Linked DNA regions of Lepisosteus oculatus. The protein of the gene in region 1 purifies or fractionates together with the protein of each later gene. This does not show direct contact. Links are inferred from orthologs where the notes say so. Each region holds a gene or a part of one and is shown in the gene's direction. Other genes may lie near its edges. The genes, in order: stub1, hypoxia-inducible factor 1-alpha, pkma and psma3.

What was found.
Region 2: the proteins of stub1 (region 1) and hypoxia-inducible factor 1-alpha purify together in Homo sapiens (affinity purification with western blotting; 3 studies listed by BioGRID, with this or other methods). This does not show direct contact. The link is inferred for Lepisosteus oculatus from reciprocal best matches to the Homo sapiens genes STUB1 and HIF1A.
Region 3: the proteins of stub1 (region 1) and pkma purify together in Homo sapiens (affinity purification with western blotting; 3 studies listed by BioGRID, with this or other methods). This does not show direct contact. The link is inferred for Lepisosteus oculatus from reciprocal best matches to the Homo sapiens genes STUB1 and PKM.
Region 4: the proteins of stub1 (region 1) and psma3 purify together in Homo sapiens (affinity purification with western blotting; 3 studies listed by BioGRID, with this or other methods). This does not show direct contact. The link is inferred for Lepisosteus oculatus from reciprocal best matches to the Homo sapiens genes STUB1 and PSMA3.

The regions. Positions count from the first base shown.
Region 1 is NC_090714.1:6,186,775-6,194,356, forward strand, and holds the start of stub1 (E3 ubiquitin-protein ligase CHIP), read left to right. Parts: upstream 1-4,563; 5' UTR 4,564-4,670; intron 4,671-7,582. UniProt on the Homo sapiens protein: E3 ubiquitin-protein ligase which targets misfolded chaperone substrates towards proteasomal degradation.
Region 2 is NC_090703.1:7,462,630-7,469,642, forward strand, and holds the start of hypoxia-inducible factor 1-alpha, read left to right. Parts: upstream 1-3,998; 5' UTR 3,999-4,289; coding exon 4,290-4,321; intron 4,322-7,013.
Region 3 is NC_090700.1:61,163,176-61,170,971, reverse strand, and holds the start of pkma (pyruvate kinase PKM), read left to right. Parts: upstream 1-4,789; 5' UTR 4,790-4,804; coding exon 4,805-4,836; intron 4,837-7,796. UniProt on the Homo sapiens protein: Catalyzes the final rate-limiting step of glycolysis by mediating the transfer of a phosphoryl group from phosphoenolpyruvate (PEP) to ADP, generating ATP.
Region 4 is NC_090703.1:4,537,147-4,544,242, reverse strand, and holds the start of psma3 (proteasome subunit alpha type-3), read left to right. Parts: upstream 1-4,075; 5' UTR 4,076-4,193; coding exon 4,194-4,214; intron 4,215-5,218; coding exon 5,219-5,301; intron 5,302-5,754; coding exon 5,755-5,878; intron 5,879-6,011; coding exon 6,012-6,113; intron 6,114-6,565; coding exon 6,566-6,639; intron 6,640-7,096. Other genes in the region: mipol1 (mirror-image polydactyly gene 1 protein), read right to left, coding at 1,432-1,523. UniProt on the Homo sapiens protein: Component of the 20S core proteasome complex involved in the proteolytic degradation of most intracellular proteins. This complex plays numerous essential roles within the cell by associating with different regulatory particles.

The DNA.
Region 1 (7,582 bases):
TGTGTTTTGCTGTAGCCCATTTATTGTGGCCTTTGACATTAATAGGCTGGACATTGACCTGCGATCTTCCTTACCACCTGCAAAGTATTTCAGAATGAGAAAAAGCTGATTTTAAAACTGAAGCTGGTCTCTGTTTAAAAGGTTGCCTGTTGAAAAACAGCTGCACATCGCTCAAATGTTTGCTGTTGTCGGAGCTTTGGGTACTTCACAAGGGGAGATCATTTCTTAGGAAAAGGGAGGAGTTAGGAATCTCACTTAAATAGACGAAAAACAGAAAGGTAAAACAAAGCTCTCATTCTACCATGCAGAAGCAAAGGGACACAAACAAGGAGACGCCATCAGCAGCAAAGATGGGTGAGGATTTCAAGTCGTCTAAGCTGAATATCGTCCATTTCTGCGAGATCGCCCTTGCTGGCATTGCAGTGGTCTTGTCCCAGCTCATGAAAATTGAAATCACTAGGACCATTGACAGTGTGTCGCCTATTGGGGACCCCCTGACCGCGCTTCAAAAGGTCATCCCCTTGGGCAATGCCATTGCTAACAGAGACCCGTCCAGAAACACCCCAGCCAAAGTATGGTGCATTATCGTCTGGTGCTTCTGCTTCTCCATGACCGGGCTGACGGTTCTCCTGGAGTTCATGGGCCACTCCAAGAAGTCCAACCGCTGTGAGAAGTTCATCAAGGCTGTCCCCCGGTTGGCGATGGTCATCGTCCTCTCCGCCTGCATCGTCTTCCCTGCTTGCCACCTCTGCATGCTGAACGGTTTAATCAAGACGGAGTTCGAGACGATGTGCCACAGGGAAATGATTAGCTGCACCGTGGTGTCCTGCCTCCTCTTCATCGCCTATGGCGTGGAGGTCAAGCTGAAGTGGCCTTAGTCTGGTCAAAGTGGCCTGCTTTATGGATCATCCCCGCCCCCCATTAGATTCAGCCATGGCCCTCACGCAGTCCTTGTTTGCTAATGTACAGTAGATGTTCGCTTTCAGGCTCCTTCCACCCCAGTCTCCTACTGGTCATCAGCATGCAGGTGTTCAGCTGTCACCCGGAAGAGTGGATCACAAACTGGGACAAGGGACATACTGTCTTTTTTCCAGCCACCCTCACTGGTGCAACAGTGATGATTCTCAGTCTCTGTTTTCAGGGGTCTCAAGTGTAAATGGGAGTCAGCTGTGAGGGACTGGACCTAGCTGTTACTGTATTTTTCAGGTGGTAGGTTTGCTGATTGTTCTCTAAAAACCTGTCTCTAAGGTTCATTTTTTTATCAGTAATTATTGTCTAAAGATTATAATTAACTGTGATCCTGCTTAGAACAGTGTGACTCTGTGTATATTCTAGGTGTCGGGGTAATTTTAAATAAATCTAGTGGTGTGCTTTTAACTCAGTTTTTTCTGTAACTGCAGTGGCTGCGTTACTTGTTGTTTTATGTTGTAAAACGTAAAAAATTTAATTTCCTTTAATTTTTTTGCACCATAATATTAGTAGAAAGATGGTGATCCCATATATTTCATGCTATCTGCTTCTTGTCTTCTTGTGCCAGTAGCAAATAGTCATGGGTAAAATGGTTCACTGCTATCAATAGCTTTATCCAGGTGAAAGGGAGTCTTTTTAAATTCCTTTATTTAACCTATTACCTGAGAACAAATCCTCATTTACAAAATTTACCAAAAGAAATGACTGGATCCATCTGAATGAAGTGCTTTTTCGAAGGTTTGGCAGTAGTACTCCTCCCAGAATTGGATAATAAGTTTTACCAGTGTAGTTTAATGGAAAACACATGCAAAGCCCTTTGTAAACTGATGGTGATAGTTTGCTGTATGCATTCAACTTCAATAAACCTGAATGTGTTTATTTTTGCTGGTCTGTTTTTGTTGCTTTTGTTCCACACCTTAGTGACCGAATGTGGAAAAACTCCCCATCAACTGGTGTTGCAGCTTTTACAATCCACTTTTAAGAGCACATAAATAATAGTAATTATTCAAAAACAATTTCACTCCTTCGTATTCATAATGTAGCAACTTGAGCAATAAATCAATGTTCAACATTTCGCAAGGTGAATTCATATCATGCAGTTTATACATGGAATTTGAGATTTTAACTTAAATGCATTTTGTTTTCTTCAGTCCGTTCACGCTTATTATGAAAAAGGAAGCTCATCACTTCAGACCGAGCGCAGCGCGACAGTGACATGATCTGCTGAATACCACAAACTACACAAGAGACAGCACCACAGGGAGAAAGACACGTCAGTCCCTCGGAGATAAACAATGCAAGGTCATTGGGATACAGAACACTGCATGAAAGGCGTGTGGATGTGTATTGAAGTAGGACAAGACTGCCCCCTGGAGCACAGTCTGAGTGCTGGAATATTACAGAACACAACTGAAGCCTGGCACCCTAGCTAGCATTTGCTCATATTTAACAAGCAAAGAGGTTAATTTGAAGATTCATGTTGCCTATTGCTATTTCTGTCTTGGATTCAATCACATACTAAACTTCTGTACACATTGATACCTGTAAAATAAAAGTCTGAATCTGATGTATATACAGGGTATCATAATTTTGTCATCACCTTGTTCCCAGAAAATGCACGTGTGTGAGTGAATGTGCAAAGACTAGCAGTTTCAGTTTCCACGTCAATGGGTCTCCTGAAGCCTAACAATTATGTTGATATTGGACAGGACTGAACTTTCTTCCTTAGGGAAGTATTTGATCAGTATTTGCTTGATGTTAATAATAATAATAATAATTGCTTACACTTTCTGGACACTCCACTCAAAGCGCTTTACAGGTAATGGGGACTCCCCTCCACCACCACCAGTGTGCAGCCCCACCTGGATGATGCAACAGCAGCCATAGTGCGCCAGAACACTCACCACACACCAGCTCTCAGTGGGGAGGAGAGCAGAGTAATGTAGCCAATTCATAGAGGGGGATTATTAGGAGGCTATGATTGGTAAGGGCCAATGGGAAATTTGGCCAGGATGCCAGGGTTACACCCCTACTCTTTTCAGGAAACGCCCTTGGATTTTTAATGAGCACAGAGAGTCAGGACCTCAGTTTTACATCTCATCCGAAGGACAGCACCTGTTTACAGTATAGTGTCCCCGTCACTATACTGAGGCATTAGGACCCACATGGACCGCAGGGTGAGCACCCCCACTAACACCTCTTCCAGCAGCAACCTTAGTTTTTCCCAGGAGGTCTCCCATCCAGGTACTGACCAGGCTCACACCTGCTTAGCTTCAGTGGGTTGCCAGTTGTGAGTTGCAGGGTGATATGGCTGCTGGCTAAATGGTTTTTACTTGCTCAGAGCTTTGTTCAAGGTTTGAGCTTTTCGGTTCTAAAATAATGCTGGGTGTAATAGTATTATTGGGTGGCACAAGCAGCCACTTAGAAGTTAGAGAATTAACTAAATCTTTAGAATATAAATCAAGGGATGTTATATTAAAAGATAACATTGTTAAGAATACTGTACATGCAGTTTTGATCATCAAGTTACAAAATGTTTTGCAGGCTTAAGAGAAATGTCTCTTCAGAATAGACAGTAAAAACTTTCAACAGGAGGCATTTTACATAAAGATTTGTGGGGGAAATGGAATAAGCTGTGTTATCCATGTTGATACCCTGGTTGCCAGGAAACAGCTGGATAAGATCCTCACATCAATTAGTTACTAAGTGATAACTAATTGACTACTAGCTACAGTAGCAATTGAGTTGGTTACAAACCAGATGAGTCTTTCTTATGTTGTTATGTTTTCAACAAGCCCCGTTCCATTACAAACCGTTAATTGTAACAAACTCTGACTGGTCTATAGTTTTAAGTTACTATGCTGCTATAATTATACTAAATCATGACGCTATTGAGTATATATTTAAAGTCAACAGGTCCACCATAAGCACAGCACATCTGTTGCTTGTGTTGACCGTCCACACTTCCAAAATGTCTAGAATTACTGTCAGCTTTTTTTTTATTATTGAATTGAATTGGAACACATATTTGAATTGTCAGCCTAGACATAAATTATAATTACAAATTAAGAAATGGCTGGATGACATCCTCGGATCAATTGACTAGTGACTGCCAAACTGGCTATAGACTAATCCCTTCCTCGGTTTGCAAACGTTCTCCCGGTCTATGTTTTTGTATTTTAAATCAACCTAGAGCGGTGATTTACGTTTGAAATCCGCTCGTTAAGACTAACGAATGCAATCAGCCGGCAAAGCACACCCGCTATGCTCTATTTCATCCATTTTCTCGCAAAAATAAAGGGTTAAACGACAGCGGTAAATCGCTTTGCACTCTATGGTCGTCTTCCGTTGTTTTACTTCCGAGTTTGACCCGAACTCTCTTCGGGCAGGAACTTCCGACAGCGGCTCAGCCATCAAAACAAGAGACGGATGAGACTCGTAGTCCGGGAGTGGGGTGAAAGCCCCAAATGCCGTTATTTTCTGAGAAACGCAATGCGAGTATAGCACCCCTGACCCATGATCGCCCATTTCTTCTCCACAGTGTGAGTCTACATATTTCTCTGGGAAGAAAAACCCCCCGCAAAACGTGAGGTGAAGCGGACGTCAAGGCCAACTGGCTGCGCGGAACCCCGACCTTGCCTGTTGACAGCAGCCGAGGGACACCTCTGCGGCAGCGGGGAAGGCTGCGCTTCAGCTATCCGGTAGGTTCAGGAAGGCGGGGGAGGGAGGGATGGGGTGCCGGTCTTTCCCTTTGGGATAGCGATTCATCAGCTTTAGAGGAGAAGCAATAGATCAAACCAAGCGATGAAATATACGTATTAGTGGCCAACAGTGGGCGAAAGCACGCTTGCAGACATATGGTAGCTACCTGTTGTAAACAGCAATTTGGTACCGAAAATGTCATGGTGTTGATACCGACGGACCCGTTGCACAGTCCCGGTGCCATCTCTTTTCCATCTTTATAGAAGGAAAAACCTCTGTTGGGGATATTGCCGTTAATTTTCGTCTACGTGTACTGATGATAAGTAACGAGACCTTACACCTTATTTCAGACACCCCCCAGAGTGAATTATTATTTTTAACTCTCTGAAATACATGTTGCAGATCCTTATTCTAGAAATCTTGGGGTTAGTTGATGAGGCACTTCACGTATAAGCATGGCCGAGATGGTCAGCAGACGTGACGTGTTTTGCAGCCCAGTTAATAAGTGTTTCTGCTTAAAATGAATATCGCCCCGGACCCGTCGGTGACTGATTAGTCAGCAGACCACAGCGAGTGTGTGAAATTTAGCGTTTTTTCTCTCGGTACACGCGTTTTTATGGGAATGCAGGGCAGATCTCATTGATAACTGGTCTCCTGAGGCTGATTACATGAAGCCTACAACTCGCCAAAGAACCCATGATCCTAAATTCTCAGCCGCATCGATTGTCATAGGGATGATCGAAGTAATTAATGTAGAGTCCTGTTTAGTTCCAGATGTATATTTTAGTCGACCCCACGTGGAAAAAACGTTTGTTTTAGTTATGATAACCACCCATGTGGTTATCTGTCAGTCCTGGGATCTTCTCCGGAAGCCCAGTGATGGTAACTAATATAACACGATTGTTTTAGTGACTTCCCTCTATAGATGTATGGCTCTTTTATGCCATTAAATTAGGAGGCAAAACGACTAGAAGTGTTCTGAAATTTCTACTTTCCTCATGGTGAAGTGGTGCCTTCTGTGTGGAGTCTGCGTGTCCCCCATAATTATCATGCTTGCTGGTTTAACTGGCATCTCGTTGGGCTTGTGTGTGGATGTGCTTCCCAATGGACTGTGCCAATAGTATGGAGGTTCTAAAAATAGGCTAATTCTTGTCATAATTTTTGTTCGCCAGCGATCTGTTAACCAGACCAGGCCAAGATTATAGACTAGGGCCTCCGGCCCTATTCACTTCGCTTTGATAAAGTTTTGATGTTTGAAGGATCTGCTGACATGTACTGTATATATGAGATCAAATACTTAAGAGCCTCTGCTCTTATTCCTGGTTTCCTTCCTGAAGAAGGAAACGTTGTTAGTACATCCTATGAAACCTACCGCTGTAGCCTTGTAAGTATGTCGAAACGTTTCATATAGACGAGAGTAAAAAGTACAGGTCCCTGAGGTACAGTGTAAAAGCCATGCAGGGAAAGGTTTCATATATTTTAATTAAACCCAGATGTAGGTAAGAGTATCTGGCTGCAGGTTTGGACATAATTGAATTGTAACCCCCTTTGATTGCATTACCAAGATTGAGCAAACATCATTATCGCTGGTATCCAAGAGAGACCCGAGAGGCTGGTGTTCCTTTCATTGGCTGTGCAGCTCGATGAAAGAATTTCCATTATTTGAAATGCTGACCCATCTTAGGTTATATCTCATGTGGCTTTCCTGATTGAAATGAACTAATACTGTATTATGGATTACAATTCAGTGTGTGCTTTTATCTTCAGTTGCATTGCTTTAGTTTGTCCTGAACTGTTGTATGTTTTTTTTTCACATGACAGCAATGCATTGTGCTGTTTTTAATCATGTCGATGGTAGATATATAGTTAATTCCTCTTCTAGAGTCTTCATTGAATCTGCCATAGCAGAACTGAGCAATAGAGTTCTGTTTAGAAGGATAAACAGTTCCATTCTGGCAAATTAGCAATTAAAGCAGCTGATCTCTAGAGATGTGCAATTTAAACAAACTTTTGAAATGTGAATAATCACAAAAGAAGTTAAAAGCTTTGCAAAATGTAATTTATTTTCAGTCAATAAAGTAGGAGCAAAACAACTATATTCCATGTATATCAGATTAACATAAATTCATTTTAGAAATACCATTTTCTCTAGCAGGACTGCAGAACCTTTAAGTGCCACAATTGAAGCATCCTTCACAGGTTTACTGGCTGTAATTAAGCTACTGACAGGTGTGCGGCTTAAAACTTTTTTTTTTCCGTTTTGAAGACCCTAATTAGTGATATTCTAAGAATTTGCAAAAGGTAGCTCAAAATTGGTGATAATTGGGGTCAATGCAACCCTTGTCTCAAGTAATGACTTCCCCAAGCATTGACAATGGTGTCCTTATTTCTTTATCTTCATCTATTTAAGTGCTCTTGAGGAGCACTGAAGGAGAAAGCTAGGGATTGCACTACCATTGATGAAGCACATATCTTTGAGTTTTTTTCGTTTTGATGCAGAAGGAGAATATTTTACTTTGCAGTGTGTTCACAGTTACAGTACCTGGACTTTTATTTGCTTTGCTTTTGCTGATATTTTGTGAAGCACCCTGGGGTGCTCAGGCAGGAATGGCACGACATAGAAAAGTTTTGTTGCGTTTGCTAGAAAAGCTTTTTGGGCATAGGTGATGCCACACTTTTTGTGTTTTTAACAGGATATTTATAGGGGAACTGCAACACTATCTTTATATTTCGGGGCTAGAATAACCATTGATGAGTGCGTTTGAAACCGCAATAAAAAGTAAAATCTCCACAGTAACTTGTAAAACCTCCAATTTACATCACACAAAATAGAGGACATTTCCAGGTATGCGCTATATTGTGCGTTTCGGAACAAGGCAACAAAACTTCAGTGACGTGTTGCGGCCCTCTT
Region 2 (7,013 bases), on another chromosome or scaffold:
TGAACAGCAGTTAGTGGACCGATAACTTCAAGCTCACTTTTCATAAAGGAAAGGAAAGGCTTCATGTTAAATCTGGGACACTGGAAAAAACCAACCAGCTTCAATATGTTTTAACGTTTTAATACCTCTCAGGGCTTTTAAAATCCAGTATTCACCAGCAGACTTCCTGCTCCTGTTGGGTGGACTTGATATGAGAGCTGATAATTGAGCAACCCTTGATAAATAAGATGTCTTTTGCAGGCATTGTTTTGACAACATGAAAGAGCAGGAATTCATTCATGATTTATTCCCCACACAAAGTTGCAGAGAGTTTGGCTCAGATGATAACGTGTTGAGAAATCCAAACTATTGCCAGTAATCCTATCACTTCACTTGGCAGTTAGTGAAAGGGACTTTAAAACAAAGAAACCAGGCCTCTCAAGGGGACTTTTCATAGAACCATTGGAAGCACTACTTTCTGACCTCTGTTTTTAGCAGTGAGCACTGGAACGTTTGAAAACCCAAAAGCATTTTTAGACTCCTTTTTTTTTCCACCTCAACTTTGCCTGTGCTGAGTAATAGCTGGGCTTGTGGCAGGATCTAAATTTTAACCCCTAACTCTGGCCTCACCAGCCTCGGATGATGCATGCTCATGAGACTCCCCCCCTCCTCCCACACGCTGCGGTGTCCTTCAGACCGGGGGGCAGAGAGGGGCTGTTTTCCATGCAGGTGCTCACTTCGGGCCAGCAGCTCCCGAATGACAGGGACGCCATCGACAGGGAGCCAGGCAGGGAGCGAACGGCCCCACGCAGAGTAACACCGATTCCGCCCCCCCCCGACTGCGCTGCTCTCGGTGTCGCTGGCCCAGAGCCCAGCTCCAAACAAGACTGGAGACGCAGACAGCTCGGATTCCTCTATTGACCCTGAGGAAAATCAATAGGCAGACTGTGGACTGAGAAATTCAATACCTTTCTGCCTTCTCACCCCCTCCCACATGGATTATATATTTTTTTCTGGAAATATTAATGACTTGGCAAACAGCTTATTTGTTCTGAACTGCATGAAAGGTGCCTAATTCTGATGATCTTACTTTGGGAATGCTCCAGCGCAACTTGAGGAGCCAAGAAGGTACTGCAGTGGTTGGCAGAGTTAGTTATAACGTACGTGTTTAGATTCCTCTCTCTATAAAAAAAAAATGCTCTCTCTTCACAGAAACGTCCATGTGGGACTTCACATTTTTTCCGTGCTCTGTAAGTGCCAGGCTGCGCAGTGTGTCCCACGCACGGCTGACACGTTCCTCTCCTCAGGGAAGAGTTCACTTTCCACGACAGGCAGACTTTCCTTAAGATGCAAGGAGAGGCTCAAAGTCACTGCCTTCCTATTCTACCGCAGGCCATGCAGTGAACAGGCTAGCACCCATCTGCTCTGCATTACAGACTGAAGCGGATATTTTAAACCATGGGGAGTGCTTATGTTCGTCTTGATTTCAATGAACACATAAAGTTAAAGATCACCTGTTGCTATTTTAAATTAATTGCAATCAAAGTGAGTAGATACTTTGGTCTATTTAGATAAGTGTAGAGGAGACACATATTTTGTACAATACCAAGTACTGAGAACTCTGCACAGAAGTAGTCCAGCATGTTTGCGATCAATTCGACAGTGCTCACAATATTCACGCGATATAATTCCTTTCACACATTGTTAAGAGTTCATCTTTCCACAAAACAACCTAAAAATCCCGTTTCGCTGCTGTTTTTCCGGAACAAACAGAACAGAATGAGCGGGCGGTTTACATACACCTGGGCTTATCAGGGGAAACATTACATTCACAGAGTCAGACTGTTTTCACAGAAGAAAGGCTGAACGTCTGGAAAATACTATCAAACCTGTTGGATGAAATGTGACCCATGAAGAAAGGAGATTTGATTATTTCTGTAGGGAAATGCATGTATTCTCAGAGGTTTGGGCGAATTATTTTATCATTTTTATATTTGGATATATAACCTAAAAATAACAGGTCAGTGTATATATAGATCTCCTAATGCCTTCTTTCAAAGGCAATGCTACTATCTCCATCCATTTTCTAAACGCTCCATCCACCACAGGGCTGTGGAGCAGAATGACTCTATCCTGGCAAGCTCAGACACAGGCCAGGACGGTGCCAGTCCATCGCAGGGCAGACACACAGACACAAATGCACATCAGGGCCACTTTTTTCCCATAAGCCAATTAACCTGCCAGTATCCCTTCGAGTGACCTGAGTACTGGTGAGACCCCACACAAAACCAGGAGAACATACAAACTCCAAGCAAGCAGCACCCCCAGATCCGGGAATCGAACCCAGGGCCCAGCCGCTCAAAGGGAGCAATACAAACCGAGCCACCGTGCCGCTCACTAGCACTTCTGTCACCTCGTGCACCCAAGTCACTGCAGCTCCCCGCCGTGCTGAAGAGAGACAGGGAAGTGAGCGGAGTTAGTGGCACCATGGGGCAGAGTGGTGGCCCTCTGGCTAAGGATCTGCTCCTGTTGCTGGAAGGTTGCTAGTTCAAATTCCATGGCTGGCAGAGGAATCCTACTCCGGTGGGTCCCTAAGCAAGGCCCTTAACCCCAGCTGCTCCAGGGGTGCTGTATAAATGGCTGCCCCTGTGCTCTGACTCCAAGCTTCTCTCTCCCCACCTGTGTGTCTCATGGAGAGCAAGCTGAGGTATGTGAAAGGACAAATTCCTAATGTAAGAAATTGTATATGGCCAATAAAGTGATCTAATCTTATCCTTTATGAATGTGTTTGGGGACCTGTGTCACAAATGGAGCTAGTCTGCCGGGCAGGCCTCGTGCTCCATGCTCTGTCCTCAGCAGGGCAGGTCTAAGGCTAACCAAATTCCACAAGCTGCATACACGACACACCGCTCACTGACGCTGACTGGCAGCTAAACCCGTAAGGAGATTTCAAACAAAGCTAATTAGGGAGCCCAAAAAGACTGATAGCGGCAGTCACATGGCCTCTTCATTCATAATACTTGTGTCTGTGTGTGTGAGAGCAGGGGGGTTAAATGTACCTGTATTCATTTATTACTTCCTACTATGTTTTGTACCTGTATTCATTTATTACTTCCTACTCACTATGTTTTAATTTTGGAAGCGTTGTTACTTTAACCTGTCTCATAATTCCAAGCATTGTTTTCAATTGTTACTTGCCGCAGACTTTTGCATTTGTCGGTCATGTCGGTAGAACACGTTTTAAGGCAAAGTAATCTTAGAGTATCTGTCTTTGGCTTCATATACTCCTAACCTAATGTAACATTAATTGTCAGGACCCCAGCAGATTTAATGCGATGCAATGTAATTTAATTCCCGAACACTATATTCCCGAGCATTCCTGAGGGCAATTTTAATCTCAAGCATGCACTCAATTCAAAGAGTAAAACAGCCAAAAACTACAAAATCAAAACAAAAACAAGATGCCGGTCAGACTGCAGGTGACATCCTGACTTTAATATTTTATCAGACTTCGATATAATATAATAGTACAGTTATTTCACCCTCAAAGGTATATTTATTAAGCAGATTTATTAGAATGTTTTAGTGTTATGAATGCGACTTAAATTGTTTTTTATGGGCTTCAGGTCTGAATGAACTGCTTTTTTCCGACCAGTATCTGTACTTAAAAAAAAAACATTTTAAAAATATGACGTTTAAAATATTAAGAAATGACAAAAGGTGTGTACGGCATTTGCCTACAAGACGTTCAAATGTTATGAAATAATGTCATTTTATCAACAGGTTAATAACATCTTTTAACTGTTGCCAATGTGTATATATATATACGTTTACCGAAGGGTTAATCATCTTCATCTTTAAATCAAACCACGGAATCACTTCGGCCTGACGCAACCAGCGACGTCCCCTGCCACATTTCTGTTTCGGGGAACGCGCACGCATTTTACCTGAATTTTGATCTCCGGGAGGCTCGGCCGGGGCGTGCGCGGCCCCGTCCTGGAGGCATGTGACTGCGCGCCCCCGAGAAGGAGCGAGTACAAACTACAGTGTAAGGAGCATCTCGGACGCGGCGGAGAGCTTGGACCGTTTCTCCTGAACGAATCGCACACACCGGCTCGAAACAGATGTTGTGACCTTCAGGCACCTGGAGGTTTGACCTCTTGCTACCACACACGTCAAAAATAGTTCTTAAAGTCAGGGCACCTTGGTTCGTTTCGTCTTCCTGTTGGATTATAAACCGTCTTTTCACTCTCGGGCCTGGGGGAACTCTTACTGTTTGGGAGATCCTAGCTGACGTCTTTCATGCGATAATGGACACGGTCGTAGTCACAGAAAAAAAGAGGTGAGTTTGAGCTTTCTTGTTGTTCACGGGAGGGGGGTTGTGTCGTTTAAACTGGCCCCTGGCTCCGTCCCCGCTGTTTTCATGTGCTGTGGAGAATTTGCTCCCCATTTTTGTGTGTGTATTTTGTCGTATGAATCATTTCTTGGCCGTGGCCACGTCGCCATTTTGTCTGAGTGTTTGGTATGGCCGCGCAGGACAGTTCTGGTGTGATTTCGTTAAGGAGAGGGGGGGACACTTTGATTGATTCGGGACACTTGTTTGATATATCTCGTTTTCCTGCAGCCGGGGGCTGCCTGTGAGGCGAGGCGCGGTTTGTAGCCCCCCTCGTCCTCCTCAAACACGGAGGGGAGATCGTTGCAGGAAGGAAATCCCGAAGTTGTGCGCTAAGTAGTTGCCTGGCCCCTTGACGTTGTGCTGCATTTCAGCCGCCGGTTTCCCGAAGAATCAGAAATAAAAGTGAGACAGACGTCGCTTGGGAACTCGATAAGAATGTCAGATGATTTGCTGTGCGGGCGATGCTTATTAATACTGCATGGGCGCTGGGTCGATGGGGGAAAGGCGACCGGCTGAAGAGATGAATGGAGGCTTTGGTGGTTTGAGCCCAGGGTCTTCGGGACGTGTTCCCCACGCCAGCCCCGGGGAAATGAACCAATTTTCGTCGGGTCTTTTACACCTTTCGCGAATCCGTGCGCGATCAGGCTTTGGGGCTGTCTTGGCACTCGCGGAGTTCACTGCGTGTGTGGGTTTTCGGGGGTCCCTCGGGGATATGGAGCCCAGGATTTTGGAAACAACCATGTTATTAGTGTTGTGATTGAAAATGGGAACCCTCCTCTTTCGTGTGCCGGCTTGAGGAGCTCTCTCGGCCAGTTCTTCATGGTGGCCCGGAGTGAGTGGAGAGCGGGCTGGCAAGTCGGACCTTACAGCGCAGTTACTTCCCGATAATGATCTCTTTCCATCTCTTGTTTTGCCAGCGATGGGGGATGAGTAGGGCAACAACAACAAAGAAGGTGTTGTGTACAGGTAGACGGTTTTATGAAGATGTTGTAAGACCTTTTGTTGTTTTGAAACGAGATATTTTTAGACATTCTTCCCTGTAGGAAGAGGGGTTGTCATATTGCCATTCCAAAAAAAAAGAGCCTAAAGAAATGAGCCCAAAAAAATGAACAGTGCGTTTGTTTTTTTTTTGCTTCAATGCTTCAATGCTTGATAGGTGGTGAGCGTTGCTGGTAACAAGGCTTGAAAAAAAGACTGGTGTTTCTGAGAAAGAAATTGTCACTTCTGCTCTTAGCGTATAGATAAGAGGCAAGTGTCTTTGCGTCACAAATATAGCCAAGAGGCTCGGTTTGGTCACCCTTCCAGCTTGTAACAAAGCGGTTTAGGTGGGAAATAAGAGTTTTGAGTTTTGTTTTTAATGGCAAGATGGAAAACTGGTAACTGTTTTCTGTCGGGGCAAGTAAATCTTATTCCCAAACTTTCCCGAGTAAGTTACAACAGCTGACTGCATGGAGCAATATCTATCATGGAAATACTTAGTTCTTTCTTGATAGCAACGAGCTAAATTTCGAGCAGGCGATGAAAACGGCTCGTTTTTTTACCTTGCCTCATATTTTGAAACCAAAGATTTTATTCCAGGCAGGCGTAGTAGTAATCTCAGACGGAAATAGGCGAGTGAGTGTTTTGGATATTGCATAAGTTTCACGGAACAGTGTGGTGTTTGTACAGTTTGTGCTGATGTCCCAATAAAGTAGTAAGAAAGTGAAGGTATTGAGTGTTTATGCTGCCACTAGGAAAAAAACTTGTTAGAGACACTGGCAAAAGAGCTTGTATTTCCGCAGTGCATCAAACCCTGATATCATGATATATGCATGTAGTATTAACAGATCAGGGGTTTTATCAGCTTCTGGCTTTGGAAAAACAATAGTTTATTGATGACAAAATTAATGGAACAACATAGAGCAGAAAATGAAATTCTCTGACTTAAAAGTCTTTATGAGCAACAAGGACTATAGTTACAGGGACACAAGAGCTACAGTTCCCAGACTTTTGTCTGAAAATTCATAACCTCTGGCAGAACATCATGTAGAACAACTTCTTACATTTGCCTGAAAATATTCTTGTCCATTGCAACATTAAGTAGGCCTACATGCAGTGTACAGATACCAAAAATGGAAATGCAGCATTGGCTTGATTCTCCTCAGATTTTCCCTAGCTTTCGACTCACTAACCCACTATCAGTCATGTTTCTAATTCTTGAGAGTACTTTGTCATGAGCAGCACCATCTGGAACCATTCTGCAGATGCGTAGGCGTCTCTTGTGTTCAGTCCATTTTCCCAAGACCCTTCCCATCAAAGGGTGTTGAGTCCGCCGTGTGTACAGGGCTGACGCAGTGCTCCAGCTGAAGCCTTGGTCCACCACTTCACATTGGCCTGGTTAAGAACCCTTCCTTTGGCTTTGTCTTAAATTCTGGTTGGGAATCCCTTGCACCTATTCACCTGAGAAATGTGGTAAAAACAAACCCAACCAAGAACCAGTTTGTTTTCCTATCGGGTTCAAAGAAACTATGGCTTCTTGCTGATAGCAAGAAGAAATAAGTTATAAGACATCATGACTTCACTTAATACAGTATTTGTTTTACTATAGTATATAACTAATTTATATCTGATTTCTCAAATGTGTGTTACCTTGTGTTCT
Region 3 (7,796 bases), on another chromosome or scaffold:
GCTGTGTCAATCATCAGTTGTGGCCTTGAGCCCCCTGTGATAATGCTAAAGTACTTCTACTGGGAGGGTGCAGAGCAGAGTCAATTTAAATTTGTATGACCTCCTACTGGAATCTGTAAGTCAGACATGTGTTTCTTGAAGAATGTGTGTGCCTTTCATTCCTTCATGTCAGTCTGGAAGGTAGGAGACAGTGGAGTTAAATATAAACTGACCTTTTCAAGTTGGGTGTAAAAGGAGAAACGTGGATATTGCATTCTAAATAAACTTTAAAATTAACCAGAAGCTAAACAGCAGTGAGACACTGCACAATAAATATCCCATATAAAAACTGCATCTCTCTGCTTTAAAACAAGAGTGTAACTAGGCTTGTGGAGACAAAGCCTACACAAAACGACATCTGAAAACTCTATAGACTATTAGAGACACTATTATTGCGGAATGATTAATGTGCTGCTGATGAAGACAATGGACCTGCGTGTTGCTATGATACAGAGCTACAAAAAGATTATTCCAAAAAAAGATGACAGAATAATAAAATGTGTTTCATCTTATTTCACACCACTATGTCAATTACGTGTTATAACAATAATTGTCATCATTGAAATTCTATTAATTATAATAATTATTAAAAATATGTTTTAATTATTAATTTAGATGGCCAATATAATTAAATTTGTGTTATAGAACACAACACAGACTTTGATTAAGGCTGTTTGGACAAATTGCAGCATTTTTCCAACACATTTTGTTTTACACACCTTCCAGTGGCATCCTACAGAAAAATGGATTATTCTCTTAGAAATTCTGTACTGAATTAACTTGTAACCTCCCAAAAAGGAAATGACTGAAGCTGATAGACAAACAAGCACTCAAGATGGGATAATCATGTTTTATATATGGAGAATGTTAAAACAGTCTATTAGGGTGTCATATCAGAAAATGTCATATCTCTGTCCTTCTGTGATACTGTTTGTGATACATGGTTTGTTTCCATGACACCAGTTTAGTGTTCACTGCCATGCTTGTTCTGTGTCCATTGTTGCATTATGATTATTGCATGAGCCTATGTGGAGCCTCAGCTTCCTTCAGCTGTGTTTTTCAATCCTAGTGAAGCCCCTGTCCACATCACCAGATGTCATTCTGCAACAAACACTGAAGCAGAAAATATTTTAACAGAAAACAAAACTCAGACATCTCCACTAAAACAGAAAGAATTGGCAACTCAAAGGGATGTACAAAGGGCTGAAAGACAGATGATGTCTCTTGTTACAGATTTCCTGTGGTACTGTTCTACAAATTTTTGATCCATCTATCAATTTTCTAACCACTTTATCCAGGACAGGATCACTGGGGAGCTGAAGCCTATCCTGGAAAGCTGTGGTTTCAAGGCAGGGGCAGGATACACCCTGGATGAGACGCCAGTCCATAACATTGAACATAAAGACACAAATACAGTCACACTCAGACCAGGGCCAGTTTCCCTAAGAACCAATTCACCTACCGCTATGTGTTTAGACAGTGGGAGGAAACCAGAGCACCTGGAGGAAACTAACATGAACATGGGGAGAACCTGCAAACTCCACACAGAAAACACCCACTTTCCACACACTGTGCCCCACATTTTCAATACAATTCATTCAAATAAGGGGCTGCATGTTGACATGGGAGTTAGACATGCTTCCTGGCTTCGATTCTGGCCTGGGTCACATTTTGTGTGAAGTTTGTATGTTCCTTCTGTGGTCATGAGGGTCTTCGATAAGTGGTCCCAGTTTCCTCCCACAATTCAAAGACATGTTGTTTAGGTTAAATGACATCTCCAAATTGTCCCCAGTGTAACATAACATAACATCATAACATCACTTTATTAGCCCTATACAATTTCTTGCATTAGGAATTTGTCTTTTCACATACCCCAGCTTTTCTCCATGGAGACACAGACACACAGACAGGGAGAGAAGCTTGGGGTTAGAGCGCAGGGTCAGCCATTACATTACATTACTGCCATAGTACTTAAACATACTCCTCTGTGAAGTAGATCAATTACTATGTCTAAATCTAACATGAATAATACTAGCAGTGTGATGCACAGTTGCTGCTAAAAATGTAGGATCAATTTTGAGCTAAAGGCCTAAGAAATTAGTCATTATGCCAAGTTCAAAGAAAAATAATTCAGCACAGTAAAATAATAATGCAGTAGTACGCAATAATTGTCATCTGCAACTTTGTTTGCAAAGTTGGCTCAATTCATTCCCCAAGCATGATCATAAACAGAAAAACCTACCACACAACACAAACTATATAATCACTTTAGACCTCGCAAAATACGTCTGGAATGCATAGAAGGCTTCAATTCAAACAAACACACCTTTAGCTATACACAGAATATGACTGAATTTAACCCTTGTCCTCCCTGTGGTTCTGAAACTCATGGAATGTTATCTTATATTTAAGATCAATTAAGAATAAAAAGGTTTATTGAAAGTATACATATATACCGTATGAAACCATTGCAGGTGCTTCATCTTTGGGAGACAGTTTTCGTTTATAAAACATTGAAAGCCTTGCTCCATCCCTGCTAAAAAAGTTCAATTTTACAAATCCTGCCTTCAGACATTTTGTATTTTCTCCATGTAACAGAGGATGCTGCTCTGTGTTCAGGGTCCAGTTTTCTCTGAAATCATGCTTTCAGTTCTGGCTATATCTCACCCTCTCCTGCCATAGCCTGGCATCTGGCAATAAGGAGTTGGTCTTTTTTTAATACCCCACTCTGCTATCTTCCACTCTTGGAATGAAACTCAACCTTCTGTCGCTGAGCCATTTTGTCCACTGCATTCACCTCAAAGGGCTTAGCAAAGAAGCACAGCTAAAAATGGGCAGAGAATAGTTTATTTTTCTGGTACCTTCTATTCAAGCTTTTATTTTAATTCCCAAGAATGAGCATTACCTTTTCTATGCAGTGTGTGACAGTTCACACACTATTAACATCTGAGCTCCAGTCAATATACACGGAGAAATAAAATGCATATACCTGTACTGTATTTGCATTTCCTACCAGTCTGACCCTCCAGCATCCCCAAATCCTCCCACCCTCCCCTTCCATTTTCTGTGGGCCCAGACTCACTCCTCTCACGGTAGCCTTGGTTACCTATAGAGACATATTCTAGTGCACCACCACCTCCCACTCTCCCCCCTCCCCACAAAAAGAATAAAAGCTAAAAATGCACACACATTCCTCTCCCAATTCACACTTACCCTTCTCGTGAGGTAGAAAGAGAAATGCTGTCTTTTTCTTTTTGTTTAATTTTTTGTTGTGGCACTGGGCTCCCAGCTTTCTGTCTCTGTTCCTCAGAAAAGCACAATGGTAGCTGGAATCGAATCTTTCTACCCCTCTTCTATTCTCTCTCTTTATGTCTGCCTAGCTGTGTGTGTGTTTATCTATTGCAGATCTCTGCTCCTTCTGCTGTCTTATTTTGCCTGACAACACAGCCCGTTGTGGGCATGCTCAGTGCGTTTCAGCCACTGCTGCTCATGTGACTTCCAGCTGACTGGGCACAGAAAGACAGGGAACAGGCTGGAGGAGAGAAACCACTTTCAGCTAAGGGAAGCTATCCTTCTTGTCTAAAGGGAAAACTGTGGGTGCCTACTTATGGTCTTACAAACTCTGATGTTACCGAATGTCCCAAGAAAAGAACTGGGGCCTCTCGTGATTATTTAATGTCTCAGAGCATTCAGCTAAACAAGCCCCTGGACAATGTTGCAGACATCAGTAAGATTCTCTCTAATTGACTACAATCCTTGTCTGCTCACTAAGTCAGATGCCTTTAAAATGGGATCCTATAGGAGATCATTACTAGAACTGGATTAAGGTGTACTAAGTTATCATTAAGACCAACTAAATGTATCGATAAATTAATATTGCTGGGTGTCTTTTCAAGGAATGAGCCAATATTGATGAATATGTGCAATAATAATGATGTTTTAGCATGGAAACTTCATCTGAAAATATCCTTTAAGAAACAAGTAACCCCCTTGAGCCTAAACAGTGTCCTTAATCAGTATTTACCCTCCTTAGCAGTAATCTGCCAGATAGAAGCACTGGCAGATTAACTGAGTTCCTGAAGACCAGGAGCATGGCTACAGGTGAGGATGCACGCAGTTCTCTGTCTGCAGACATCTGCCTGTGCTCCCGGGACAAGCGTAGCTGCATTTTCACCTCCCCAGCGTGCTGTTCTGGGTTAAATCTGAGCAGAAGCATTATAAGAAAAGAAACAGCTTTTTTTCATAACTGCAGCTCCTGACGTGTTTCTCCCAACTCAACTCCCTGTCACCAAATGAACAATGAAGAACAGCCACCGCTGAACAATCCAGGTGCAGTCTTAAATGGAGCAGGTTCCATACCACTCTCCTACAAAGAAACACATTAAGCTAAATGTGGACAAAATACACACTATTTTTTTAAAGTTGGCTTTTTGTCATTTGGGACTGGCTCAAATGCCCATAAGGGTGCTACAACACCTAAGAGAAGCAGAAATTTACTGTGAGCTGACTGTGGGATTTCACATGTCCTGTAAGTAAGCCACCTGGATTTGAGTTTGTTTTTTTATGAGAGACAAGAGATTTAGTGCTTAGTGGAAAGAGTTGGGGATGGACTTGGGGCCACAGGGTGAACCTGAAGATGAACCGATTGGTTCACAGGTCTGCCAATCAACTTTCCAGGCATGGCCATTGGCTGTGCTGAGCTAGGTTGAAGAGCAGATGCAGGTTGAGGTGGGGGTGGTGGAGACAGGGGTAAGGACAGGACACGATGGGCAGTGGCAGCAGCAACAGTGCGAACAGGTAACGAAGGGGGGGACAAAGGGATACCATGATACAAAGACACTGTTTGGCAATAGAAATCACTCCATGGCAGAAGATTAGTACCATGCAAGTTTTTACTCACCACATACAACAAAGTATGTGCAAGAGTTCCATATTTATCACATCAATCCACCAAGTTCATGCAAGCCTAATAATTTAAATCTAATTCATGCATTTAAGCTGTAAGTGTGAGTACAATAATAACAGATTAGGCATGTCAGTTTTGGGCTAAAGCTTTTTCACCAAAAACTACAGAGCACATTAGTGGAGATGTAGCTACTGATTCCGATATATTAGGAAAGAGGCAAAACAATGTTCAGTGGTTGAGGTAAAACTTCACTGGCGAAGGAAGCAGAGATACTAAAGTTAGAGAATGCTGTTCATCTGATGGTGTGGGGAAAAGACTTTAGAACTGTAATTTCTGAAATGCTAGACTGATTTAGCTTGCAGGAAACTCTTTCTTCTGTGACTAAAATCAACTGATTTCACTGATGAGGCTTTTGTTTTAACATTTTGTTTGTATTTATTGGCAGTCTGCTGATTTGTTTTACACTGGTAAATAAGTAAAAATTAAATGTTTTTTATTATTATTATATTAATCGTAGAAGAAGTATTATCTTACTTTTTGCATAAACATTATCTTTGAAAGTATTACATGTAGTTGTATTGTTGTTAATAATTGTTTTCCTACAGTTTATATGGCTCACTTGTAAATATAACGTGTGCTATTATTTGCATTACTGTTGTAAGGCGATTAGGTTCGATGCTTTTACGTTTCAAAACAGAACATTTTAGCACCATCTAGGGTAAATGTACTGCAATAAAACTATTTTATTACGTTCATTTGAACACAAGAGGACGCTAGTGCTCTCAGATGTGCTTAAAATTAATCGGAAAAGGAAAGGAGGAGGTCAAATTCGTAAGTTATTTCTACCGTGGGAAAACGGGATAAAATAAAAAACGTAGGAAGAGAAACTGTCTTTACTCATAAAATTAGTTCCAAATGACCTTCTTCTATTATAGCTTTTACCAACGTGAAAAGAAATGGAAAAAACTGAGAATGAGAGGTTATTATTGTAACTATACTTTTACATGAGAGGTTTTTTTCCTCATGAATCAGCAATGTACACGTATATATAGGGTAAAAGCACATTAAATATATTAGATAATATTTCCTGTCATTTCTATAGCATTTTTCATCCCAAAGGTTCTCAGAAATCCTTACATCCTCCACCGAAATGCTACACCCACCGTGTTTATGTGTTGACGTGCAGCTGTCATTATCCGCCAGCATCCCCAATTCAGAGTAGCTGAGGTGAAGAACTGGGAATTGTCTCACTCAAGGGGAAATCAAGGGGATTTTTAATGGAGACACAAGGCTGTCCAACCCCAAGATGGAATTTAGCCAGGACACTATAATAATACTAATAAACTTTATTTTATATAGCGCCTTTAAAGGTGGCTTCTCAATGTGCTTTACAGGGTGACAATAACAATAAATAAGAAGAGTATAACAATAAATAAGGAGAATGCACAAGATAAGACACAATTACAATATATAGAGGAGACCGTGGATGGTGGTACTAAGAAGAGCAGAGGGGTGAAGAATGGAACCAGTTAAGTAAAGGCTTTTCTGAGGAAGAGGGTTTTGAATCTGGATTTGAAGGAGTTTAGAGAAGGTGACTCTCTGATATCCTTGGGCAGATTTCCAGACCTTGGGGCTATAACAGGACAAGGCCCTGTCACCCACACAATGTAGATGGGCTTGGGGGACAGTAAGGAGGGCAGAATTTGAAGAGCGGAGGTCGCGAGGTGGGGAGTAGGGCGATAATAGTTCAGACAGGTACTGAGGTGCCAAGCCATGCAGAGCCTTATAGGTGAGCATGAGGATTTTAAAGTCTACACAGAATTTGACCGGAAGCCAGTGCAGGGACTCCAGGACAGGAGTGATCCTGAACACTTGCACTAGACCTGGTCAGGATTCTGGCTGCTAAATTTTGGACATACTGCAGTTTGTTCAGAGTAGATTTTGATACCCCTGCGAGTAGAACATTACAGTAGTCAATTCGAGAGAATACAAATGTGTTGATCAGCTTTTCAGCCACAGTTAACGTGTGTTAACATCTAGTGTTAACACTAGTGTTAACATCACTACTCTTTCAAAAAGTGCTATCTGAAGTTATATGCAGGATGAGGATGGCACCTCCCACAGGTGTCCCTGGTCACCATGACCACACTGAGCATCCATCCATCCATCCATTTTCTAACTGCTTTATACATTATAGGGTTATGGGGGAGCTGGAGCCTATCCTGGCTAGCAAGGAGCACAAGGCAGGATACACCCTGGATGAGATGCCAGTCCATCACAGGGCACATTCAGGCACAGACACACACACTCTCACCAGGGCCAATTTTCCCACATGCCAATTAACCTACAAGTACAGTATGTCTTTGGACATTGGAAGGAAACAGGGCATCTGGAGAAAACCACCTCTAACTTGTGGAGAACATACAAACTTGAAGCACATAACACTCCAGGTCTGGAATGAAACCCAAAGCCCCAGTGCTAAGAGGCAGCAATGCAAACCACTGCATCCCCGTGCTGCCCCCCCATGGTTTAGAGGAAAGAGCAACACCTACAGGTACAGTAACACCAATCTCAGCAGCAACAACCTGGTGATGCTGGCCTATTGTCTGAGCCAGCCTGCTTAACTTGTACACCACCCTTACATTGCTGAGAAACTGGATTCAGATCAAACTAAAAGAAACTAAGAAATAAGTTCAGTGGGTGACACAGTGACACAGTAGTTAGCATTGCTGCCTCACTGCACTGGGACCTAGAGTTCAGTTCTGGACCTGGGGTTCTATCTGGTTGGGGTTTGCACGTATGTGTGGGTTTCCTCCAGGTACTCCGTTTTCCACCCACAGTCCAAAGACAG
Region 4 (7,096 bases), on another chromosome or scaffold:
GTTCCCTGGCACCTGTTTGTCTGATCTGGCATTTCATCCCGAGAGCAAAGTGTGAAGGTTTTCTCAGGCAATGAACAATGATGGAGTTTTTGCAGTCTTATAGGAAAACAGATTATGAGCATTTCCTAAATAATAATAATTCCTTACACTTATATAGCCCTTTTCTGGTGATGAAGCCAGTTCATAGATAGGAATTATTAGGAAGCCATGATTGGTAAAGGACAGGGGGAAATTTGGCCAGGATGCCGGGGTTACACCCCTACTCTTTTCAAGAAATGCCCTGGGATTTTTAATGACCACAGAGAGTCAGGACCTTGGTTTTATATCGCAACCGAAGGACGGTGCCTTTTTACAGTATAGTGTCCTATCCACTATAAGTTATGGGCACTAGGACCCATACAGACCGTGGGATGAGCGCCCCCTACTGGCCCCTCTAACACATCTTACAGCAGGAACCTTAATTTCTCCCAGGTCAACCATCCAGGTACTGGCCAGGCTCACACCTGCCTAGATTCAGTGGGCTAAGGAAGATAAAATCAGCATAAGGTTTAAACTATTTTCTTGGATAAACCTGTTAACTCTAGGGATACTCATTATCTAGTGCGGAGACTGACATTAGCAAACAAAACAAACCATTTTAAGAGCCATATTCGTAACCAGAAACCAGTCTTTGCAGGTTCCTCTCCGCTGCTCAAGCGAACAACAACATGTTCAATATCTTGTTTCTAAAACAGATTGTGGTCTGACATAACCTCTTCCTATGATCAGCAAAACGAAAACCATCTAGCTCTCTTTACGCAGTTTTAACTAATTGCAATATGGGGACACTGTACTTCATTCTTTATTTACCGACCACGAGGGTGTTATAGCAATTAGGTCGAATACTTTTCCTGTGAAACATTTACTGTTTCTTTTTTTTTTTACTTTATATAGCTAGGATACTTTCCAGAGAATGTTTAAAGTTTTCGAAAAACAAGAGAAAATAGTGATTTCACAACTGATGGAAAAATTAGGAGTGAATGAGAATGTTAAATACATTGACAGTATACACTATTAACAGGACAATCATATATAAAGTAAATGTAAAACAATAGCGCCGGGTGCACAGAAACAATGTTAGCTGTAAGAGAAAAAAAAACTGTGGTTAAGTAAACGTTGAAAAGTAAAAAATGTGATAACGTGCAATGCCATAAAGCATGCCTTGGATTGGGTGTAAAATACATGATGAGTGACAGCTGGACAGTCAACAATACAGGCGAGCGGAACACAAACGCGAGTCGCACAGACACGAAATTGCACCTCCGGTTCGACCTTCGCCGATACTCTTGGGTCAGGAGAGCCGAGGCGCCCTGTTACTGTTGCACCGGTCTCAGCCGTGCGTTTGAAGACCGGGACCAACAACAGAGAGACCACAGCAGCAAGCGCACTTACATTTCGGCAAGTTCGCCTTGCAAACTCGCCATTTTCCGTTTAACCCTCTGAAGGGCGCTGTGCAAGTCAGGAGCCCGGCTGCTAGCGTGCATCGGCCCAGCAGAGCCCTGTCCTGCTCCATGCCCGGGGGGTGTTTCTCACAGAGCAGACCCCCTGCCTCCCCCCCGACAGCGTCTCCAGCAGCACTGGGCCGAAGCAGAAACCGCGAGCACTTCCAGGTCACCGGCTGCGGAATTGTTCTGGAAACAATGTAGTTGTTGTTGTTGAGCACCTTTTATCTTTAACAATCAAATACGTGTCACCGTGGTCGAAACTTTCAACTCCCCCCACACCACCCATGCGGTTCTGATATTACCAACATTATTTTACAAAGTATTTTAATGAACGTCAGATGAACAGAACTCCCATCTGAGCCTGGTTGTGAAAACGAATATTCATTGGATTTGTTTTAAGTCAATTCTTCGTGAATTGCATTTTTTCTCTCTCACTCAATTCGTATTTTGGTAGGATATACAATGACGAATTATTTCAGCCTTCAGCTTTTTGCAAATATATGCAATATATGCTTCTTTTTTGCAGAACTATCGCATCGATTTCATATAAAACATAATTTGAGAACAGACACCTTTTTTTTCGCATTTCAGGTGGGTTTAATTTTTTAATGGGAGACAGATATTTAAAATGTATTTTTTTTAATCCTCCAGTGCATTATCCTATCCTACTTTATGTCCGTTTAAAAACAAAATCATACTTTTAACTTTTTTTTTCTTGGAACAGCGAGACACATCTACGTGCATCTATTTAAAAAAAGAGTTATTGAAAATCGTGTCATGAGCACAACGTCCGCGATTTCACAACTTGTAGGTTCTTCGACATGTGTACTTGTAGTTTTCTTGATTAAAACTGTAGTCACCTGTTTACACTTTGGGAAACAACAAACACAGCGGTACACATCACTTACCGAAAAAGACAGGTTCTCGAGCAGACCGATGGTGATTTTCTGTTTATATCACGGCTAGTAACTTCTATATATTATTATTATTGTTGTTGTTGTTGTTGTTCGGATTTGTGTCCTAACAGAGAAACTTTTTCTTCCGCTGATGTCACGTTTCCACTTGGGAAGACGACGAGAGAAAATGCCCTGGAGTGAGTGAGGTGTCTGGTTGCAGGCAAGTGGGGCGCTGTGAATCCTGAAGAGGGCAGTCGAACGCTTTGGATAAGGAAAGGGAAAGTACACTAGTCAGCCATTATTTGGGCTGAATACTTCAGCCACAAAAGTAAATGGTCTAATACTGCTCACCCTATCCATGCTTTTAAAGTTGAATTCCCTTTTTATTTGAATTCTATTAGAAATTTAAAGAATCAAAAGGCAATGGAGATATTTCCATACAATGAAAATATGTAAAAAGTATAACTTTTAGCTTGTCAATTCCCCTGGGTGTGAAGTGTCTATTTCTGTATCTATTTTAATATTCTGTCTCCTTTTTTTTGTATTTCTGGGGTTTCAATAAAAACTTATTGAAAATACTTATTTCAAAACTTATTGAAACGTATTTAAAAAACGTATTTTTAAAAAAGTACAGTAGTAAGAAATGAGGCGTATCTCCTTCTTAATCCACCTTAATGTTAACATTATGGGGGATTTGGTCCATCAGTAGATCTGAGCTTTTCCTTTGAATAATTATCTTGAATCTGTCACACTAGAACTAGCTTTTAATTTGCTTAGGAACATTCACAATACTTTACACATTTACATGAACTTACATTGCACCTTGGGTTAAAACGTGCTATACAAATGTAAGTAGTTTAAAGTAGTTTAACATTACTCATAGTTATTCTTGTCCAAAACTATTGTTCATCATTTTTTTGTTTTGAAATGCATTGCTCCTGAGTTTCTCTATTATTTCTAATTATTTTTATTATGTGTGGTAGATATGGGGAAGCTGATAGCACCCACCTGTTATTGTAGCGACCTGAGTATACGGAACAATCGCACATAAACAAAACTACAAGCCTGGATGTCGAAAATGACTTATTCAATTAAGTATGACACAAATAATATGTTAAAGTATATATACATATATATTTCAAATCTGGTATTGTATACATTTCCAACCATCTGTATGAGAAAAGCATTTTTAATTGAAAAAGACAGAACTAGTATAAGATTTTATTGTCCCCTGAGGGAATTTTTTTATGGACACCACGCACTCCCGTACATTTAAATAGAATGCAAACACCAAAAAAAAGAAGAAAAGAAAAACATTGCACATTCTTCTATTACAAAAAATAAGAAAAACAATGCACATCACTCTATTGCACATGCACAGTATAACACATAACAACATGTAACATTTATAACGCATCACAAATCATAAACAGTGTATACATATATGAAATCATTGCTTCGGAATTTCTGCTGTATTTTTCGAGAAGGTACGCGTGGTACAAACGGACTCTCCACTCTGCGTGAAGCAGAATCGCAAGAAGTTTGATGAGCCACAACCCCGTACAACGTGACGGCTTTCCAAAGGGGAAACAGGCCGTTTTGTCCTTTCCACCAGCAGGCGGCGCTGTCCGAAGAGCCGAGGACAGTCCCGGCAGCGCCGCTCATCCCAGTGGGGCGAGATTTCAGCCAATCGGCTTGTGCGTTGTTAGCCGGTGGGAGAGTGTGGCAAGTCGGGAAATTGACAAACCTAGCCAGCGAGAAAGAACAGCTTGTAGGGGCAACAATACATATATTCTTGACGTTGTAGCCCAAAATGAGTTCAATTGGCACCGGGGTAAGCGACGAGTCTTTGAAATGTCTGCCATTATGGCGGATAAATTACTGTATCTTAGCAAAGTTGGGCATTTTTAGAACTAAGCGTTTTCCGGCCTTTTTAGCTAGCCGTACGTGAGCGGTGAGGTCCGCTGAATTTCGGTGGCTTCTTGTTGTGCTTTCAGTCATGAACGTGTCTGTCACGGAGAGGTTGTCTCTCTTGTACTTTGTTTTTTATTTTTTTTTTTGCTCTGTGAGATACGCTGCAAGGCGCTGATAACGATTGTCCGGAGGACTGTGCGGACTTGTATGCTTGCTGAGTCACTAGCTCGGTCGGCGATGGTGAAAGTGAAAGCGATTGGTACTTGTAGCAATTTGTTAGCAACTCATCATAGAGTCAGTACTACCCATTCCTTCCTATTATATTTATATTTTATTTCCTTCCTATTTTATACATTATTTAATTATAGGAAGGCAAGCATGACTTTGGGCGGGGGGGGGTCTGTGGGAATGATTGGGTTTTAAGTCATGTTACCGTTGCCTGTATTGTTGTTTTTCCATTTTGAAAGAGTAGAAATGATAAACAATATTCAACACAAGGTGGAACACAAGGCAGAAATGGAAAAGATGTGCTTTGAATTGTTATATTTTAACGTGTAATTCGATATTATAATTGTAATTCACCGGGTGCAATCAGAGGCTTCTCTATTTAAGCTCGTTAAAACAACTCTGCACAGAAGAGTACTATATTTTTGTCTAATACCTAGATTGGGGCACGGGGATGCCACGTTTACCATTTGTTGTTTTTTTTCATTCGTAAAGCAAAATGACAAAGACTTGACGTGAATTAATGTGATTGTCACAGACACATCTCAGAATAATTTACCAATTTGTTTCGAATTATGGCTGAATAGCACAGATGGCACCCATGTGAGCTACACTGATGTGATGTATGAACTCTGAAAGAAGTGGTTTCACAGAGCTCAATCCTCCCGTCTGATTGTGGTTGTACACCTCTGATTTCAGTATGATTTGTCTGCATCTACATTCTCCCCAGACGGGAGAGTTTTTCAAGTTGAATACGCCATGAAAGCAGTAGAAAACAGCAGGTGAGTCTTGTCTCCTCTTTCTGAACTGTGAATGCAGAAAGGAGTTGGTGTTGTGAAGAAAATTGCAAAGGCATGCTTAACGTTTTGTACACCTTTGCTGCTGATGTGCCTGTTAGATACTTAGTGCTGCGCAAAACACATGTGATTGTCGTGAGCTGCTGCATGGCAATGACTTTGAAGACTAGTTTCCACTGGCATTTCAGCGGTAAAACTAAAGTGATGTCATGGCTCCAGGAAATATTGATTCAGTGGGTACAAAGATAGAGAAGTGTGTGTGTGCAGTGTACTATATTAGTCCCATCAGAAGCTCAGAATATTTTTTGATTGTTTGCTTCAGTCCATTGGTTTTTAAGAAGGGACTAAACACCTGGTCTGTTCATACTCTTTGGATTCTCCCAGCCAGAATTTGCTCTCATTGCTGCTACTAAAATGGTTTTTGTTTCCGTTCTGTAGCACAGCCATTGGGATCAGGTGCAAAGATGGGGTGGTGTTTGGAGTTGAAAAGCTTGTCCTCTCCAAGCTGTATGAAGAGGGTTCAAACAAACGCATCTTCAACATCGACCGGCATGTGGGAATGGTAATGTCTGTTTCAGCATTTCACCAAAAAAGGCTAGGCTGCGAGTTGGCATTCTTTCACACTTTTAGATGTAAAATACCCATTAGAAAAGATGGTAAAGGAGCATAAAGATGCCTTTCGTTTTGCCCCACAGGCGGTGGCAGGACTCTTGGCAGATGCGCGATCTCTTTCGGAAATTGCGCGAGAGGAGGCTTCCAACTTCAGGTCCAATTATGGTCATGACATTCCCTTGAAGGTAGGAGATTTTTTTAACAACCATAAAATAGTCCCTAAGCCACCATTATCATCCCATTAAAAAGAATGGTTCATTTTCGTGTAACTTCTGACGAAAGATGTTTAGTCCTTGACCTCTTCATTCGAAAGAGAAGTAGAAACTGACAGAAGTTACCAGTACGCACAGTGACAGATCACATTTACTAGGAGGAAATACCTTCTTGAAAGAAAATGGTGTTTTTTTCTGATATTGCTTTGACAAGAGGCAAGATTTCATGTAGAAGATGTATTTATTTCACAGATGCCTTCACACAAGGAAGGCAACATTTGGTAAAAACAGCAACTGAACTGTATTATGTAACTTCTGCACTGTTTATTTTTACAATTTTAAAGAGATTCCGTGTATGGTCGGCTTATTCTGGGGTAGTAGCATGGAGTGATAGTCTGATTACAACTTCTGTCTTATTCTTGCAGCACCTTGCTGACAGAGTGGCCATGTACGTGCACGCGTACACCCTGTACAGTGCGGTCAGGCCCTTCGGGTGCAGGTAATGGGATTCAATCTTTGTTTATTAACAGTGGCGAATAACTACTTTAAAATACACTGTACTATGTGCCTGTGTAAGTAAATGACAAAGTTGAACTGAATTTCCATGTGTATTGTAGTTTCAGCTGTAGGCAAATCTAGTAAAATACAGTATCTGGGGCTGTGATGTACAGTTAGAATATTGTGAAAAGAGAGACATGGCTGCTATAATAAAGAAGCCTTATAGTTCTGTTTAAGTCCAGCAATCGGCCCTAGTAAACTAAAATTAAATGAAAATTGGCATTAAATACTTTAGTGAAATGCTTGGTCTTTCTGTAATTATAGTCTTATGTTTTTCTATCTCACACAGTCTCTTGTAGATTTGTCAGTGAGTTCCACAGTTGTGGTGCTGCTGCACACGTAAAGGCTCTGCTGTTCTGTGTGTGGAGCCTGAATCAGCAGAGTAAAACAGCCTGAAT